Linked DNA regions of Macaca mulatta. The protein of the gene in region 1 interacts with the protein of each later gene in a pairwise test. Links are inferred from orthologs where the notes say so. Each region holds a gene or a part of one and is shown in the gene's direction. Other genes may lie near its edges.

Evidence for each region.
Region 2: the proteins of TRIM42 (region 1) and KCTD9 interact in binary tests that used the Homo sapiens proteins (3 or more experiments, as listed by UniProt). The two-hybrid records come from large-scale screens. The link is inferred for Macaca mulatta from reciprocal best matches to the Homo sapiens genes TRIM42 and KCTD9.
Region 3: the proteins of TRIM42 (region 1) and KLHL38 interact in binary tests that used the Homo sapiens proteins (3 or more experiments, as listed by UniProt). The two-hybrid records come from large-scale screens. The link is inferred for Macaca mulatta from reciprocal best matches to the Homo sapiens genes TRIM42 and KLHL38.
Region 4: the proteins of TRIM42 (region 1) and HOXA1 interact in binary tests that used the Homo sapiens proteins (3 or more experiments, as listed by UniProt). The two-hybrid records come from large-scale screens. The link is inferred for Macaca mulatta from reciprocal best matches to the Homo sapiens genes TRIM42 and HOXA1.
Region 5: the proteins of TRIM42 (region 1) and STK16 interact in binary tests that used the Homo sapiens proteins (3 or more experiments, as listed by UniProt). The two-hybrid records come from large-scale screens. The link is inferred for Macaca mulatta from reciprocal best matches to the Homo sapiens genes TRIM42 and STK16.

The regions. Positions count from the first base shown.
Region 1 is NC_133407.1:43,684,336-43,688,570, forward strand, and holds the start of TRIM42 (tripartite motif-containing protein 42), read left to right. Parts: upstream 1-1,424; coding exon 1,425-1,765; intron 1,766-4,235.
Region 2 is NC_133413.1:27,175,516-27,178,266, reverse strand, and holds the end of KCTD9 (BTB/POZ domain-containing protein KCTD9), read left to right. Parts: intron 1-926; coding exon 927-1,043; 3' UTR 1,044-2,249; downstream 2,250-2,751. UniProt on the Homo sapiens protein: Substrate-specific adapter of a BCR (BTB-CUL3-RBX1) E3 ubiquitin-protein ligase complex, which mediates the ubiquitination of target proteins, leading to their degradation by the proteasome.
Region 3 is NC_133413.1:134,062,671-134,066,864, reverse strand, and holds the start of KLHL38 (kelch-like protein 38), read left to right. Parts: upstream 1-1,382; 5' UTR 1,383-1,625; coding exon 1,626-1,711; intron 1,712-2,367; coding exon 2,368-3,718; intron 3,719-4,194.
Region 4 is NC_133408.1:101,251,819-101,255,893, forward strand, and holds the start of HOXA1 (homeobox protein Hox-A1), read left to right. Parts: upstream 1-1,264; 5' UTR 1,265-1,656; coding exon 1,657-2,308; intron 2,309-2,771; coding exon 2,772-3,127; 3' UTR 3,128-4,075. UniProt on the Homo sapiens protein: Sequence-specific transcription factor. Regulates multiple developmental processes including brainstem, inner and outer ear, abducens nerve and cardiovascular development and morphogenesis as well as cognition and behavior.
Region 5 is NC_133417.1:124,492,860-124,497,051, forward strand, and holds the start of STK16 (serine/threonine-protein kinase 16), read left to right. Parts: upstream 1-1,384; 5' UTR 1,385-1,486; coding exon 1,487-1,572; intron 1,573-2,459; coding exon 2,460-2,679; intron 2,680-2,915; coding exon 2,916-3,049; intron 3,050-3,217; coding exon 3,218-3,338; intron 3,339-3,464; coding exon 3,465-3,560; intron 3,561-3,981; coding exon 3,982-4,103; intron 4,104-4,192. UniProt on the Homo sapiens protein: Membrane-associated protein kinase that phosphorylates on serine and threonine residues. In vitro substrates include DRG1, ENO1 and EIF4EBP1. Also autophosphorylates. May be involved in secretory vesicle trafficking or intracellular signaling.

The DNA.
Region 1 (4,235 bases):
TAATAAGTTTTTAATAAGACCTTACAGAAAGCAATCGTGAAAATGTATCATAAATCTGGGAATGAAACTCTAACCTGTGTGCCTGGAGAACGGAGAGAGATATTGATAAAACTCAGTTTTGGCAAACATGTGGGGAAAAGGTGTTTCACTTTTTTGAATGTCTTATATTCCTTGCTGGTATTAACTGGCACATTTGAGTAAGAAACTGAGCGTTTTGCATTAAAAAAAGACAGATAAAGCACATACCCTATGATCCAGGATTTTCACTTGTAGAAATCTAGTATCGATGTGTGGCTGGCATAGTTGGCACTCAGTGATTTTCTCTCCTATTATAAAGGTGATAACCATAGGGAGAGATAATAAATTATGCAGTAAATTCCTGCAGCCAAACTCAGCTCTCACTTCTGCTTTTTATAAAAATAAGACAGTATTCATACTCTAATGTACCATGACCATGAAATTTCTGTTCTTTTAATCTTTGCAAGTTGCATAAATGGGAAAGCGAAATTCTTCCCTAAAATATAGGGTCTTTTTTCTAGGGATACTGAGCGTATACTAGCAGAACAGTTAAAGATTTCACGTAGAGTTCCAGCCTCTTTTTGGAGTGGGAGTAGGATGGGAAAAGACAGAAAGCCTGAACCTCACCCAAACACCATGAAGCTACAAAAAAGCAAAGAAATATTCAGAGTGACTTATGTATAAAGCTTCATGAAAATGAGCAGTGACTATGCATTGATAAAAATCAATTACTACTGAAAGAAGTTCCTAAGTGAACCTGTATATATTTTTTCTTTAACTCTCTCTCTGAATGGTGATATCTCTTTAAACATGGCATTGGTAATATTTGTAAACACTGTCCTTCGTTCAAATAGAATTCTATCAATTCCGCTAACGTGGAAAAACATGTGAATCTACTTTTCTAATTAACCATACCCAAGTCTTTCAGTCTATGAAGACATAATCTGAAGTCCACTTGCCCAAATCGCAGGCAGAACACCAAACAAGGAGAAATAACTTCAGAAATCTACTCCATTATCCAAAAGGTGACAAATGACAACTAAACTTCCAGGATGCTCATTGCATCACCACTCCTCTACAGCTGGTTCCATAGAAGCATGGAGTGTTCACCAACATACCTGCTACCACCCACAAGGCCGCATCCTCCTACCCACCCAGCATGGTAGAGACACAGGGATTGTGACATAAGCAAATACCCTCAGACTGATATATGTAAATGCCAGCCTACGAGCTTCCTGGTAGGGACACCAGCTGTGAAGGCCTCATAACAGCCAACTTCTTGCAACTCTCAAGCTGACGGCCTCACGCAGGGGAGGAAGGACTCCTCCACTGGAGAACTGATAGCAGTATTCTGGTAGAGGAGGCATCAAGAGCCCTAGGAGGCCAGCGGTAATCATGTAGGCGCCATGGAAACTGCTATGTGCGTTTGCTGTCCATGTTGTACATGGCAGAGATGCTGTCCTCAGTTATGCTCCTGTCTGTGCTGCAAGTTCATCTTCACCTCAGAGCGGAACTGCACCTGCTTCCCCTGCCCTTACAAAGATGAGCGGAACTGCCAGTTCTGCCACTGCACCTGTTCTGAGAGCCCCAACTGCCATTGGTGTTGCTGCTCTTGGGCCAATGATCCCAACTGTAAGTGCTGCTGCACAGCCAGCAGCAATGTTAGGTGCTACTACTATGAGAGTCGCTGCTGCCGCAATACCATCGTCACTTTCCGCAAGGGCCGCCTCAGGAGCGTCCATATCTCGTAAGTGTCAGACACTGGATGTGGGGCCACATTGGCTCATGAAAACTAGGGACCACTTGCCAGCTGTGAAGTCCACAGGGCAGGCCAGTGCGCCTCTGAGTTCATTTCTTTATCTAAAAGAAGGAGCTAAGAATTTTGTAGCAATTAACTGTATCCTAAATGGTCACTATATATGTAGACCATGAGTTCCAAATCTAAGCACCATTAACTATGAAAATGAGCACTTCACTCCTCTGAACCCCAACTCTCTCATCTGTACAAAATAGTAATAGCTAATAGTGCTTAAGCAACTTGCCAGGAACTTCATGCATGACCCCAGCTAACCCCTCACCCTAAGTCCACTGTTTCCATGAGGAAACTGAGCCTTTGAGAAGTAAAGTTGTCCCAGGATCACACAGCTGGAAAGATGCAGTCAGGATTGGAACCTAAAATTTGGGATCTTAACTTTAAAATGCTATATTGCAAAATGGAGACAATACCCCCTTCCCATGATATTGTAGATATAAGGATTAATGTACATGCTTTGTAATCTGTATGTGATATAAAAATATAAACTGCTCTTTCTCTTCCTATGAACTCTTAATACCTGCAACATTTAATGGAAAAGAATTTCTACAGGGTACTTTTGACCCTGAGGATCATATAAATACCCCATACATCCATGAACTCCTACTACCTTGTTTTTCCCATCCAGAAGTCATAGTACTCAGGGTCTCAATTACGCATTTGGAGTACTAACCCTCCATATTAGGTCCTACATTATCCTCACCTGCTCTACCAAACCAGTCTTTTTACGTCACAGATGAGGGGAGTCTGAAGTAGTAAGAGCACACTTCTTAGAAGGGGAAAGATGACATCACCATAAGATGACAGGATTAGAAGAGGCAGAAAAATAGAAGGCAGTTAGAAGGCTTTCAAGCCTGGAAAAGCAATTCTGTAAGCAAAGGTTTGGTGAATTCAGGTGAAAGATATTATCCATCTTGCAATTAAACATTAAGTAGATGCTTAACAAACATAACTCTCCACCCATGACCCTCTCATAGTGTTTGCATAAATAGGAAATCCAGGGATTCTCGATGCAAGTCTAGAAATCCTAAAGCATGGACAATAGTGTCCACACTCCTCTCTTAACTACCTCATTTTCTGTGCTGCAGCAGCTGAACCTCTGAGCCCATTTCAACAGGAAAGGGATAAAATTGGTGCTTTAGGAAAATGCCTTAGGCTCAGTAGCTCCCCAACGTTATTGTGCATTGAAGTCACCTGGGGATCTTTTAAAATTACTGATGCCTGATCCCCACCCCCAAAACATTGATTTTATTGGTCTGGGGTACCACCTGAGCATCTGAATTAATTAGAATCAACCCCCGCCTTCAGGTGATTCTAATGTGTAGAATGGCCTGCAGGGGGCTAGGAGGGAAGCCAGGAGATTTGGCAGGTGATCCAGCAAGAATCCAGGTGCAAGAACAGGCCTGATTTTGGGAGAGAGGGGGTTGTGCAGAGGAGCAGAGACAGGATATCTCAGCAAGAAGATAAAAGCGCTGGGCTTGATGACTGTTTTGAAATGGAACCATGGCCACTGAATGCCCCATCCGAGCCTAAGGCTTTTGGAGGATGGGCAGGGATGCTACCACAAGTGTTAGGAGGTCAGCTGTGGGTGCTTTTCTTCAATCTAGCCTCTCTCCTGGCTTCTGACCCTCTGCCTCCCCTGTTTCTCATCACCACTTTCTGTTCAGCACCTTGCTTGTCCTGCCTCACTCTGGTCTCAGGCATCCCTCTCCATCTTAGTCTTTTTCCCACTTCCTTTTCACCTCTAACACAGCTACCTAGGCCATTAATACCTGTCTCTTAGCCCTGAGACCTCTTTCTCGTCCTCCAACACCTCCCTCCCCCCTTCTTCTTTCTTTTTTGTGAAAATGCTAGCTCATGAGCTTCCTACTAGAGATACCTGCTGTGAAGGCCTCATAACAGTCTCTCTTTATATTATACCTCCAGTCCTTACTTTTTTAGCAAACTAAAGTCCATCTGGGCACTACATGGACAATTGACCTGTACCTCCAGGTGATCCCTTAAGGACCCATGCAGGAATCTGGGAAAGCAGAGAGGAAACAGAGCTGAGAACATCGAGGCCAGCATGCCTGGAGTTCCCAGATCCCTAAGGGACAAATTTTCCAGGTGCCTTAATCCACACAGGAAGCATTCTCTGTCACCACAGGGCCACTCCATTCCAATATACTTGGGAAGCACCTGTGACTGTCTGGACTCAGACATAGGGAGTGGGGAAGACAGGGACACATAAGGAATGCAAGAAGACAAAAGTAGAAAGAAACACAGCCACAATGTCAAGATTAGTATCCAAATACTATTATGCAAACAGAGGAGAGAGCAATAGCGGCAAATTGTGTGCCTATTTACACCTCCATTCCCACAGCTAATTCATTTATTTTTATACACTGCATTTGCTGATTGTAAG
Region 2 (2,751 bases), on another chromosome or scaffold:
CCGAGATTGCACTCTGGCCTGGGCAACAAGAGCAAAACTCCGTTTTTTTTGTTTGTTTGTGTGTGTGTGTGTGTGTGTGTGTGTGTGTATTTATTTATTTATTATGTTGGAATCCATTTTGTATTTTAAATCAATGGTCCCCGACCTTTTTGGCACCAGGGACTGGTTTTGTGGAAGACAATATTTTCACAGACCAGGGTCAGGGGTGGTTTTGGGATGATTCAAGTGCGTTACATTTATTGTGCACTTTATTTCTACTAGTATTACATTGTAATATATAATGAAATAATTATATAACTCACCATAATGTAGAATCAGTGGGAGCCCTGAGTTTGTTTTCTTGCAAGTAGACATTCGCATCTGGGGATGTTGGAGACAGTGAGAGATCATCAGGCATTAGATTCTCATAAGGAGTACACAACCTGGATTCCTCACATGTGCAGTTCACAATAGGTTTCACTCTCCTATGCGAATCTAATGCCCTTGCTGATCTGACAGAGGTGGAGCTCAGGCTGTAACTTGAGCCATACAGGGAGTGGCTGTAAATACAGATGAAGCTTCATCTACTGGTGACCTCCTGCTGTGTAGCCTGATTCTTAACAGGCCATGGACCAGTATCAGTCTGTGGCCCAGGAGTTGGGGACCTCTGTTTTCAATGTCTCATTTTAAAATATGCAAGAACAAGGGACATGCTTCCTCTTTAACCTTTGTTTATATATATACAGCCTGAACATTAACTAGAGGTAACAAATACAGATAGAATATCATCTTAATTTAGGGTGGTGTATCATCAGTTTTCCGGAAATTAAATGAGTTTTATTGTATAGGAACATTTTCCTAATCTGCCCCAGAAATCGTTTTGAGCAGAAACAGATAAGGCCTGAAATTTCCACATGAATTATGTGAATATTGTTTTCATCTTGCAGAATTGTGATCTGTCTGGGTGTGATCTTCAAGAAGCCAACCTGAGAGGGTCCAACGTGAAGGGAGCTATATTTGAAGAGATGCTGACACCACTACACATGTCACAAAGTGTCAGATGAGAATTTTAGGGGCTGGAGGAAGATATACAAGATGAAAATGTTTTCCTTATCACTTTTCTTTCTCCACCCACTCAGTTGTCTAGAAGAAATAACACCGTAAGGAAATTTAAAAAAAAACATTTAGAGGATTATGCTTGTTCTGAGCGGTGCATAAGGGAAAAAACTGACTTTTTTTCCATTTTCTGATTTTTAACAGAAAAGCACTCATTTAATAGATGTAGGGAAACTAGATATTGCTGCCTTTTGAACGGGGTAGGGGGGTTTACCTGGTTTTATGACCAGGAATAGTATCTATTATATTTGCTTTTAAATAGGCATGATGTGGAAATACCATCTTGGTTTGAGATGCATTTGAGGATTTTAATTTATGGAAAGCACAACATATGCAATTATATTTATTGAATACCTAGATGCAGTATGGATATTTAAATTGTTAAAACTTTATGAAAACTTGGAAAAGGTTGTTCAGGTTTATAAATAGCTTTAGTGATGCCTCCTCTCTTTAAATACCTGTCACACCATATGAATATGGTGAGATCAGACTCCCTAAGACTCTTTTCAGGTTCATTTTTAAAATGTTTACTTTTTAGGACAAAACAGTAGCTAAATTAAAGTAATATCCAGTTCTTACTGATTGAGACAGAGTGGAAAGAAAGACATCATTGTACATCACTGTCATTCCAAAGGTACAGTGGGACTCTGGATGGAGGAAGCACTTACCTATCACTACAACACTTATAAGTGAGAATTTCTCAGAATTTCATTCTAGGCAAGTTCCACTCAACACCAGACCAAGCAATTCTATTTACACTGTTAGCCTAGTTTTCTCATACAATCATCACAAGGATAAGAAGACACTTCAAAACCAAAAAACCAAGGTGCATCATTAATATTCATTTAATTCAAATACCGAATAGTTGACATAGGGCCAGCTTAGAAATAGATACTAAATCCAGAGCTACTGCAATCAAAGCATATATGAATGAAGATGGTAGAGTTGCCTGCTAAAAGGCAATGTAATGTAATTGCAGCTAGAACCCTACAGTGGGGAATGAGGAATTTTAAACACACATTTGATTACAGCCACCAAAAAATATATGTAAAGTAAAAATAAAGGCATTTGGCTGGTCCAAGGTGTAATACCAATCAGTCAGCACCTGTGATTCTTCTACATATATATATATATATATATATATATATATGTGTGTGTGTGTGTGTGTCCTAAACAAATTGTAGCCCAATTTTCTTGAGTCATTATCTCTGCAGCAGCAGAGGAAGGACCTGTACCTCCCTACCAATGACCTGGTGTCCTTATTTCTACCCCAAGAGCAGGGATATTAGCTGTGTCCAAATGGGTTCTGAATTCTACAGACTCATCAACATGAGGCAAGGAATCATTGAAAACCACCTGTGTCTCCTTTGGGAGAATGACATATCTTTAGTATTTACGTAGCTTATTCTTGTATATCTACATATGCAAAGCTTTCCTTAACAGTAAAGGGTACATATGCATAGTGGGAGGAGATCAGACCTTTACAGGTGAAGGAAAGCAACTTCAGAAATGAATTATTTTCTTTGCTTTATTATTTTTACCAAGACAGAGAAGTATTGTATTGAGAGATAATCTATTTTCATAATCAATATGTGCCTAAATTATATTTAAATCATTTCACTCTGTACTATATTTTCAGGAATTATAGAATGTGTT
Region 3 (4,194 bases), on another chromosome or scaffold:
CTTAGCTTAGGCCTCCTGCTCCTAATTCTGGCCTCCAGGCCCGTGGCCCCAGTAACATGTTTTGGATCCATTTCCTTGGCCTTGACCTTCTGGACTCTTGGGCATAATCCACTCTACGATCTGCAACTGTGAATGAGAGACCCTCTTCCTTCCACCCTGTCCTGTGGTGTCCCAAAGACCAGGTCAGCCCAGCTTCCCCAACAGCGACCAGATGCATACAAACATCTGTAAGTGTCTCACGGAGCTAAACTACTACACATGAGTGGCAGTAGACGTGGTTCCAGAGGCAGACAGGACACCAGTCCGATTCCAGCTAAGGAGTCCTGCGGACACGGGGAGCCACTGAAGGGCCTGATGCTGAGAACTGGCAAATTCTGAGTTGCCTTCCCAGGGGCTGCTCCAGAGGGGACAGGGTGGATGTATTGGAGAGAGAAGCACTAGGAGCAAAGAAAAAAAAAATGCATGGGAAGCCATCGCACTAGTCTGAGCAAGATTTTGAGTAGGAGACGAAGTCAGGCTTGCCTGCCTTTCGTGGCTAGGACAATCACGAATCTCCCTGACGGCAGGGGCAGGACAGACCTGAGGTCCCCTTCACTCTTTCTCGTGATTCTGATTGTTATTGAAAGCTGCCTCCTACCACATCACTCTCCTCATTCCTCCCCCAATTCTCTACCTCCTTCTCTTCCTCCTCCTCCTCTTCCTCCTCTATTCTCTCTCCCTCCCTCTGTCCCTGCTTCTTCTTCCTCCTCATCCCCCTTTGTCTTCTTTCTCTCTCTCCCTAAAGCAATATGGCTTGCCTCCTGCCTCTAGCTCAAGCTGCCAGACCAGACAAAATGGAAAAGTAAGACAGAAAAGGAAGTCTGAACTATAAAAAGCCAGCTGAAGAGCAATCAGCACGTGTCTGGGAGAGGCAGACGTGACAGGAGGAGCTCGGCCTTGCAACTGTCAATCAGAGGCTCCCGAGTAAGGAGACCCGACAAAGGTCTGGGCCTTCATGAGTCTGGAAACCCTGGGGTGCTCAACAAAAAAAAAACAACTCTTGTCATGGATTTCATCACCTAGGCTCCTGGAGGAGGAAATCACAGCTCTCCCCAGCAATCCTGCCAGGCAGATGGGGGGAAATAGGGATCCATTGAATAGCATCCACAGGCTCATGCTCCGGCTTCCCTTGTGACCACCTGCCACCTTCACTGTGGCCCAGAACCATCTTCAGTGACTCTCCACAGGTCACAGCAACCTGTTTACAGACAGCTAGAATTCCCAGGCACTTTTAGGACAGGGGACTCGGGATGGTTCCAAGCAGACAGCAAAGTCTTCTCTAACAGAAGCCACTCCTCCCAATCTATTTTTGCCGATGTAAACACTTGCCAAGGAAACACGGCATGTGGGCATGCGCGGGCCCTGCAGGCCCTCGGGTTGCTGCAAAAGGCAACTGGAAAGTCACATGTCATAACAGTGGAAAGTACATATGCAACTATTCTTAGCCCTGGAATGTATACACTGTCTCCTTGGCCAGCAGTCCTTGCACAAAGCTCTAGAAAACTATGAAAGTGCCTTCAGCATAAACAAATCCAGAAATCTCCCAGGACAAATCATTTGCCAACTGAAAGAAAGGCCTGGAGTTTATGGTTTCCCTCAGAGCTAGAGGTAGAAACTCTCCAGGGGGACAAGCCAGACCAGGCACCAGTGGATGTCACCGCGGCAAAACAAGGTAAGTATCCCTCATGCTTATTTCTTCTGCAGGTAGACAGCCAGGTGTCATCCAATAAACCAGGGGATTGTTTGGTCTTTCCTTCTATTTATTCCATCTTTAAAGCAAGACTCAATGAAGTTATATTTAAATATATGTATCAAAGGTCCATTTTCTTCCCTCATTTCTGTCCAGTGACCAGAGGGCCACACCTCCAGAGTGTCACCTTTGGGGAATGATTGACACCCAGAAAGAGATGTTTAGACAAGTTTACTCAATAACAGATATGCCATCGATCTGGAAAAAGGCTCAGGAACTTCTGCTGGCCAAATGCATGGACTGTTATCTTGCTTCAGACTAACATTTCAGCTTCTGATAATAGAGTAACTTCCAACAACTTTAGTTTGTTTGGTTGGTTGTTTCTCTCAGATTAGCTGAAGATACTATATGCTTATTACTTTCGAAAATAACCATAACCCAAAAGAGCTCAGGTCTGAGATGTATGTGGCCTTCCTTTCCAATCTTCCCTACACAATATCCGTGGCGACATCCACAAACATCATGGGGAATGGAATAGGAGCACTGGTCTTACAGTCCCCGCAGCTGAACCCTCCAGCACCTGAGCTGAGAAAGACTTGACTCTTGCTGACTCTGGGGGCTTCCTTCCCTCTTTGTAGGATGGACGAGGAGTCTCCAGATGGGGTGCTCTTCAAAGATCATGACTTCTCTTCTGACTTGTTGAGGCAGCTCAACAGCTTAAGGCAAAGCAGGATCCTGACTGATGTGAGCATCTGTGCCGGTGCCCGGGAGATCCCCTGCCACCGCAACGTGCTGGCCTCCAGCAGCCCCTACTTCAGGGCTATGTTCTGCAGCAGCTTCCGGGAGAAGAGTGAAGCCAAAGTGCAGCTGAAAGGCATTGACCCCCCAACCCTGGACCAGATCGTCTCCTACGTGTACACGGGGGAGGCACGCATCGATGCTGACAATGTCCTCCCCGTAATGGAGGCCGCCTCCATGCTACAGTTCCCCAAGCTGTTTGAGGCCTGCTCCTCATACCTGCAGAGCCAGCTGGCCCCCAGCAACTGCCTGGGCATGATCAGACTCTCAGAAATCTTAAGCTGCGAGACCCTCAAGAAGAAAGCCAGGGAGGTGGCACTGACGTCCTTCCCAGAGGTGGCCGCATCAGCCGACCTGAAGGAGCTCTGTGCCTTGGAGTTGAGAGACTATCTGGGAGATGATGGGCTCTGTGGGGAGGAAGAAAAGGTGTTTGAGGCCCTCATGGTTTGGATCAAGCATGACCTCCAGGCCCGGAAGCGATACATGCAGGAACTGTTCAAGCAGGTCAGGCTGCAGTACATCCACCCAGCCTTCTTCCAACACTTCATCGCCAACGATGCCCTCCTGCAGTCCTCGCCTGCATGCCAGCTCATCTTGGAGACCGCCAAAAGACAGATGTTCTCTTTGTGTGGCACCAGCGCCCCAGACTGCAAACTCCTATTGCATGTCCCTCCAAGAAACTCTTACCAAGATTTCCTCATCCTCTTGGGCGGAAGGAAGGACAGCCAGCAGACCACCAGGGACGTCCTACTGTATAGCAAACAGACTGGCCAATGGCAGAGCCTTGCCAAACTCCCGACACGGCTGTACAAGGCCTCTGCTGTCACCTTGCACCGCAGCGTCTACGTGCTGGGGGGCATGGCTGTCAGCTCAGGGAGGAGTCTGGTCAGTCATAACGTCTACATCTTCTCCCTCAAACTCAACCAGTGGAGGCTGGGGGAGCCCATGCTGGTGGCCCGCTACTCCCACAGAAGCTCTGCCCATAAGAACTTCATCTTCTCCATCGGGGGTATTGGAGAAGGGCAGGAGCTCATGGGCTCCATGGAAAGATATGACAGCATCTGCAATGTCTGGGAGAGTATGGCCAGCATGCCCGTGGGGGTGCTCCACCCCGCAGTCGCTGTGAAAGACCAAAGACTCTATCTCTTTGGAGGAGAGGACATCATGCAGAACCCTGTGCGCCTTATCCAGGTAAATGACTGGTTCTTCCCATCACATAACTGCATGAGTATGTGTGCATGGACACACCCACACCTGCATGCACACACATGCACATGCACACATATACACCAACACACACACGTACATACATACATATATGCACACATATACACAAATACACATATGTATACATGCACACACATATATATGCACGAATGTATATTCATGCATACATACATACACGTATGCACATATGTATGCACATACCAACATGCATACATGTGCACATGTGTACACATATGCACACATGTATGCGCATACCAACAAGCATACATGTGCACATGCATACACACATACAATTCATGCACACATACACACATATATCTGCACATACATGCACACATTTATACATACACGTGAACACAAATACATGCACACACATGTACACCCATGTACACTCATACAAACACTTGTCATTTGCAAGGAAAGAAGAGAGGAAGGGAGGG
Region 4 (4,075 bases), on another chromosome or scaffold:
GATTTCTCCTACCCAAGACTGCATCAATTATTGGTCTCCGTTTGGCTTTTTCCTCTCTACAAGCCCAGGGTTGACGTGAAACCTAATAGTAAACAACAATTAACGACCTCAGCAGCGTCAGGGTAGAAGGAGGGTGATGGGGAACAGGACCCTTGGCCTGGGATGACGCTCAGATTTTCACGTGTCTCTCTAAGGAAAGACTTGAAGGTTCTCATAAGCAACTACCCAGCCAGTTGGAAAGGGGAGGAGGTGTCGTTGGGGTAAAGTGTTCTGTCCACCATCAGCCATCTGTCCACCGCTCCTCCCACCTGCCAGTCCCCGCACCCACTCTAGACGCGCAGCAGAATGAGGAAGGTTACAAAAGGAAGCTCTCTCTCTCTTCTAACATTCCTCTCCAGAAAAAGAGGAACGCAACGAAGGGAGTTCAGCTACTTTGTTGGAGCTGTGGACCGGCCCTGCGAGGCCCACGCGGGAGCGGAGGCTCCTGGGTCTCGGGCGCCGGCAGATGGCCTGCAGCGCACGGCCCGGCCCCCACGCTGGCCACGTCCGCCAGCGTCATCTCTCTCCCCCGCCTCCTACCCCTAAAAATCCGGCGGTCGAGTAGCTCCGCATCCCGGAGGGCTCCCGCTGCAAAACTGAGTGGGAAAGAAACGGCGGAGAGCGAGGAGAGAGGGAGGGTGGGGAAGAAGAGCCCGGTCGCCCCCGGCCTTTTCCGGCAATCCCTGTTTCCAGGGCTCTTCCGCACCCCCCCTTCCCCGGTCGAATTACAGAAACTCCTCATTGCCATGCTAATGAAGAGCGGGGGCTGTGGGGAGAGGGTTTCGGAGACTCTCCTGGAAGAAGGGAAGTTTCTTTTCTTGCCCTCGTCTCCTTCACCCCCACCCGAGTTCCTCCCACCCAGCCCTCTGCGCTCTTCCCTCTCCATTCCGCGCTTGGAGAGCCGGTGGCCCAGCCTCGCCCCCTGCCACGGTTCTGTGCGCTCCTCACAGCCCCATGGTCTCCCAGCCCAGCCTCAGAGCAGAGAAGGCGGCCTGGGAACCCGGGGCTCGGTGTCAGCCGGATTCCCCGCCTTCCGGTTGGGCGCGCTCCGGGCTGGGCCCGCGAACCTGCGGCCACCCGGCGAACTCCGGCCCACTAACTCGCGCCCCGAGAGAGCCGGGAGCCCTCTTCCCTTCTCACCTCTCGCCAGTTCATCTTTCAGTGCACAGTGGGGAGGGGGCGGGAGCGGGGGACGCCTCTCAGCCCCCACCTCCCGGAGGCCTGGCGGGGCGGGCAGCGGAGTCGGGCGCGCGCAGAAGGCAGCCTTTGCTCTTCTTCGCTCCAGCACTCCAAATCGGCCGTTGCAGTCGCCGCAGCAGCTGCCGCCGCCTGGGCTGCCTGGGGGGGCGACTGCGCGTCACCTAGACGGCGGAGCGCCGGGGATTTAAATGCCACTGAAACGGTGATCCATCACCGCGGAAGCCGGCAAACTTTTGCAGGAGGCTCAGCCATTGGCTGACACCGTCACGTGCCCCTCCCCTAGCGTCCTCCGCCCTCCCGCCCCCCCCTCTTGCGCACTGTACATTCATATCATTTTTCTTCTCAGGCCCCATGGAGGAAGTGAGAAAGTTGGCACGGTCACCCAGGGCTTCGCAGGACCAGGTCACTCAGTGACAGATGGACAATGCAAGAATGAACTCCTTCCTGGAATACCCCATCCTTAGCAGTGGCGACTCGGGGACCTGCTCAGCCCGAGCCTACCCCTCGGACCATGGGATTACAACTTTCCAGTCGTGCGCGGTCAGTACCAACAGCTGCGGCGGCGACGACCGCTTCCTAGTGGGCAGGGGGGTGCAGATCGGTTCGCCTCACCACCACCACCACCACCACCATCACCACCCCCCGCCGGCTACCTACCAGACTTCCGGGAACCTGGGGGTGTCCTACTCCCACTCGAGTTGTGGTCCAAGCTATGGCTCACAGAACTTCAGTGCGCCTTACAGCCCCTACGCGTTAAATCAGGAAGCAGACGTAAGTGGTGGGTACCCCCAGTGCGCTCCCGCTGTTTACTCTGGAAATCTCTCATCTCCCATGGTACAGCATCACCACCACCACCAGGGTTATGCCGGGGGCGCGGTGGGCTCGCCTCAGTACATTCACCACTCATATGGACAAGAGCACCAGAGCCTGGCCCTGGCTACGTATAATAACTCCTTGTCCCCTCTCCACGCCAGCCACCAAGAAGCCTGTCGCTCTCCTGCATCGGAGACATCTTCTCCAGCGCAGACTTTTGACTGGATGAAAGTCAAAAGAAACCCTCCCAAAACAGGTCAGTCCTGGGGGTTGGTGGATGCTCCTTGATTAATCTGGAAGGAGCTGGTATGCTTAATTTCCAAGGAAAATTAATAATTATCTTTTTTTTTTTAAAGGCTTTAAGACTAGTGTTGTAGTGCATGGAGAGGGTACCCAGAGGTGTTGGGGCAAAGAAGCCTCAGGGATTGGCGTGTTCTCAAGGATTTTATACATTTGGGAAGTAGGAAGTGTGTGGGGGTGGTTATTGTGACGGTAGTGTTCTGTTAATATCTTAAGGCTCCATTAATCACCGATCTGACCACGCTAATGGTTGACTTCAGGTTAACACTTTACACCTCATCACTCACCCTCCACAGCCCGATTTGTGTTGAGTTCTTGATCTTTTCTTTACCTGAGTGTTGCCATGAAGTGTGTAGGTAATCTCAAGTCGGTTTAAAAATTTTTACCTTTCCATCTCATGGCTTCCCACTTTGCCCCAGGGAAAGTTGGAGAGTATGGCTACCTGGGTCAACCCAACGCGGTGCGCACCAACTTCACTACCAAGCAGCTCACGGAGCTGGAGAAGGAGTTCCACTTCAACAAGTACCTGACGCGTGCCCGCAGGGTGGAGATCGCTGCATCCCTGCAGCTTAACGAGACCCAAGTGAAGATCTGGTTCCAGAACCGCCGAATGAAGCAAAAGAAACGTGAGAAGGAGGGTCTCTTGCCCATCTCTCCAGCCACCCCGCCAGGAAACGACGAGAAGGCTGAGGAATCCTCAGAGAAGTCCAGCTCTTCGCCCTGCGTTCCTTCCCCGGGGTCTTCTACCTCAGACACTCTGACTACCTCCCACTAAGGCGGCTCCAGTCCCAGACCACAGCCCAGGCATCTCCTTGGGCTGGGACTTCTTACCCAAAGCACATGCTTAGCTTATCTTTCTTTCCATTTACAGTCTCTTCTTTTCTGATCCTATCTGGGGAGCTCCTGGCCAGGATAATATGTTTGCAGATAATTCTGGACCAGAGACTTGGTGCCGGGTTAACACCTTAATCCAGATTGGGTGCCAGCACACATTTTCTGGTGGGCCTTAACATCCCTCCTGATTTTAGGAGAATTCACAGAACCTACTGTTCCTTTCAGATGACTTTTTGGAAAATAGTTCCCTTTACCAACAGAAACATGCCAGAAGGAATCTTCTCATCTTTTATCTAACTATATGTACAGCTCTCTCCTCCCTTGTCCTTGAAAGTAGGATATAGTGAAAGGAGAGTCCAGGAGCTCACGAAGAAGAGATACACTGTGTGTTTACACAATTAATTCATCCCTTAATTTAAGTCATTTTCATGTGTGTGAGTTTGCTGGTTGTGAATACTTTGTCCTAAGAGATTTATCTTTATACAGATTTTCTAGAAATGTTTAGGTTACTAAAACAGGGTGGGCAAACTCTCAAAACTGGCACAATTTTATAAGTGAAAGAACAAATTTCCTCATTTAAATCCAATCAGATGCCTCAGAGGGTAGCCTCGATTTGTTCTTACAGTTAAGAAGCCCTGCAGAGCACAAAGTTCAGAAATCCAGCTTCCTGTGCTAAGTCTTTCCCAATCCCCACTCCTTTCTTCTTGGGCCACCCTCTGTTTAAAATTTGTGCTGGGTTATTCAGAACCTAAAAGTATTATTCAAACCAGCTTCTTCCTTCCACAGTTATCTTAGTTGGATATAATGTATTTTCAGGTCAATTGTTAATGTGATGGATGGCACAATGAATGTATATTTTGTGTGATTCGTGAATAGTCTTTTGCATGTC
Region 5 (4,192 bases), on another chromosome or scaffold:
TCCTGGCCATTCCACCTTCTTTGGAAGTGCACCCCTCTCCAGCTTACCCTGCCTGCCTCAGCAACAGATGTTAAGGACAACTGCTTTGTGCCAAGGCTTGGAAACTTGTGAATTTCCTTTTCTTTTGACTTTACAATCTCAAGAATGGGATGTGAAGATCAGGGTAATAATAATTACTGTTTATTGACATGTACTGAAGGCTATGTGTCAGATATTGTATTAAACACTGTACATCTAATTTAATCTTCAAACAACTCCATGAAGTAGATAATTATCATTTCCATTTTACAGAGGAGGAGAGGAAAGGAGGGAAACATTAAGTAGCCTGTCCAAGGTCACACAACTACGTTAACAGAGCTGGCGTTTGAACTAGTCAGTCTGGCCTCACAGTTAAGCTACTTAACATTAGGTACTATTATACCTATTTTACAGCTACTAAAAGTAAGGATCCGAGAGGTTAAGTAACTTGCCCGAGGTTACACACCTAGTATGCTATTAACACTCAATTTAGAAACTGAAAGTCTGGTTCACAAGCCTGAGCTCTTAACCACTGAGAGTAGAGGTAGTGGGATACAGGCCAGAGCCCGGAAGGTTGTAAGGGATCAGGAGACCAGGCCACCAGACCCGCCCCTACCTGGAATCCCCTCCGGGCTGCAGTGTAGTAGCCGCTTTCTGCCCCAGAGCGCCGGAGGTATGAAGCCTCCTACCTCCAACATTGGGAGATGGAGGTCCTGGGGGCCTCGGGCCGAGCCCGGCTTTGCTCCCCTTTGGCGCAGATGCCTGCGTCTTGACCCCCACTGAAGGCCAAGTAGAGAACCCTCACCAGGGTCCTGGGACCCGTCCACCCCTAGACCTAGCTCGCCCTGGGCCTCTCAGCTCCGCGCCCCCACATCCTCCAGATGCCCAGCGGTTGCTAAGATACCGCGGGCCGTTACGCCGCCGCGGACTGATGATGTCAGCACTGCTTCCGGTCGGTGGCGCTTCGCTCTGTCCCGAGCCAGGTCAGTCGGGGAGTGCAGGCTGGCCCATTCCAGACTCTGGGCTCCTAGGCCGGGGGTGGGCCCTGCCAGGAGTGGGCGTGAGCTTCGCACGTCCTCTGAAACTACGCTGTGCTCTGTCTTTGCGGCGCGACGGGTGTGGGAGCGGGGCCTGCCCAAAGGTGGGCTGGGGTTGGAGGAAGTGGCCCGGTAGCCGCTGTGTATCCTGAGGCCATAAGGCCCCTGACCCCCGCCGCTTGAAGCTGGCGAAGGAGCAAGGCCCATTTTCTCTAGACAATAGTGTAGGTTCCAGAGACCTGGGCCTGAGCTCTCCGCCTTGGTACTTCATGAGTCGTCTAGATTGTGCCGGACCTGTGTGAGACCCTGCCGTTGTTTTCTTTCCAGCATGATCCGCTTGGCCCCCAGCGCATCTCCTGGAAGAGCCCACTCACCCTGGACGAGCTCTTCGGTAGCCTCAGACTGTCCTTGAAGAGGATGACTGAAACATTATGGGCCACGCGCTGTGTGTCTGCTCTCGGGGAACTGTCATCATTGACAATAAGCGCTACCTCTTCATCCAGAAACTGGGGGAGGGGTGAGTGTTTGGAAGTCAGTTAACTAGGCCTCAAGGTTGTGGTCATTGAAGGAAAGCGGTGTGCACGTGCTTGGGGCACAAGGGTTTTATCCCTATCCCTATCTCCTCTCACCTGACAGAGCCTAGCTACACAGCATCAAGAAGGTGGATTCTGGAGCCAGGCCTGCTAAATCCACCTCATGTGACCTTGATAAACCATGTTTTTTTCATATGTTTAATGGAGATGATTATCATCCCTCACTGATGGAGTTGTGAGGATTAAATGAGATAATGTGTATAAAATGTCTCACCCAGTGCGTGGTTCTTAAGTACTTGATAAGTGTTGGCTATTATGGGCCGGGCGCGGTGGCTCAAGCCTGTAATCCCAGCACTTTGGGAGGCCGAGACGGGCGAATCACGAGGTCAGGAGATCGAGACCATCCTGGCTAACACGGTGAAACCCCATCTCTACTAAAAAATACAAAAAACTAGCCAGGCGAAGTGGCAGGCGCCTGTGGTCCCAGCTACTCGGGAGGCTGAGGCAGGAGAATGGCGTAAACCCGGGAGGCGGAGCTTGCAGTGAGCTGAGATCCGGCCACTGCACTCCAGCCTGGGTGACAGAGCCAGACTCAGTCTCAAAAAAAAAAAAAAAAAAAGTGTTGGCTATTATTTATTTAGCATCTGTCACGTGCAGAGGTCTCTATTACGACCATAGGACCTCAAAGATTTCTGTATCTCTGCTCCTGAGGAGCTCACAGTGTAATATTCTTCAGATTTCTCTTAGAGCCACATCTTGGGAGGGTTTCTGCTAAATGGGAAGGACACCCCACTCCCCACCAGGAAATTTCGCTAGGTCTTAGCCATGTGGGAGATGACCATGACCCTTCATTGACCCCTTTGGCCCACAGTGGGTTCAGCTATGTGGACCTAGTGGAAGGGTTACATGATGGACACTTCTACGCCCTGAAGCGAATCCTGTGTCACGAGCAGCAGGACCGGGAGGAGGCCCAGCGAGAAGCCGACATGCATCGCCTCTTCAGTCACCCAAACATCCTTCGCCTCGTGGCTTACTGTCTGAGGGAGCGGGGTGCTAAGCATGAGGCCTGGCTGCTGCTACCGTTCTTCAAGGTCAGAAAGACTCCCGGTTATGGAGGGGGTTGCAACAGAGCCACCTACCCATGGGCTATGTGAGCAGTCCAGCATGTTAGGAAGCAGGGACCATGTCCTGGGTTTGGCCACTTTAGATTTTGAGTTTGAGGTGTGTATCATGAAAGGGCTGATAGGCTTTGACATAGGGAAGGGATCAGGCCTAAGGAGCAGAGGCTCCAAAAACATCTCCAACTGTAGGGAAACTTGTGTTGCAGAGAGGTACGCTGTGGAATGAGATAGAAAGGCTGAAGGACAAAGGCAACTTCCTGACTGAGGATCAAATCCTTTGGCTGCTGCTGGGGATCTGCAGAGGCCTTGAGGCCATTCATGCCAAGGGTTATGCCCACAGGTCAGTGGGAGGACCCTGTATGCTTGCTGGGGCCCAGAGGAAGAGCCTTACCAAGAGAAATGGGAGGTTTCTGTTCTCCCAAGAAACAGCCTGTATGATTCTTTTGCTTGCTGGGATTCCAGCCTTCCTGTCCAGAGATGCTCATAGGTCACTTCTACTTCCCTACAGGGACTTGAAGCCCACCAATATATTGCTCGGAGATGAGGGGCAGCCAGTTTTAATGGACTTGGGTTCTATGAATCAAGCATGCATCAATGTGGAGGGCTCCCGCCAGGCTCTGACCCTGCAGGTAAAAAAATCTCCAGGTTCCTTTTCTCACCTGTTCCCCATTCCCACCCCTTCTGGTGCATGCCCCAGTTTGGTCACATGACCATGACGAGTGCCCCACTTTTGAGCTCTGGGATCACTGTTCCAGGACTGGGCAGCCCAGCGGTGCACCATCTCCTACCGAGCCCCAGAGCTCTTCTCTGTGCAGAGTCACTGTGTCATCGATGAGCGGACTGATGTCTGGGTGAGGAGCATGTGGGTGGGTATCTGGGTAGGGAGGGCTGTGGCTCTGTACCTGCTGTGGAGTAGAGTAGGTCGTTGGTTTCTGTTGCATGGGGCCCCAGGAACCACAGTATGTCCCCATCCACTTCAACTTCCTTCCTGGGAACTGTCACTGATACTGTACCCAGTTGCACCGGATGTGGTATAATCCCTGCCCCGAACAAGGTGAGTACAGCTCAGTATCAGTACTGAAGAGCAGGGGCTAAGCTAAGCAGGGGCTGCGGAGGCCTCCAACCGACTGGCAGTTTCTCTGTGCCCTGGTGGTGCCATGTGGCTGAGGTCAGCTTATTCTTTTTAGCTTATGTAGTCTTTTACCACAGAAGTAAGGGGAGCGATGTTATCTCCATTGGTCCCCTTCTAGGGACTAACCAAGTTATGCTCAGTCCCTAGGCTGCGTGCTATATGCCATGATGTTTGGAGAAGGCCCTTATGACATGGTGTTCCAAAAGGGTGACAGTGTGGCCCTTGCTGTGCAGAACCAACTCAGCATCCCACAAAGCCCCAGGTGAGCAAGCAACGAATGGGGCATCAAGTACTTCAGACTGCCCCCTGGTATTAGCTGGGTTGACAGATAGGTGTCATCCAGTCCCCCTG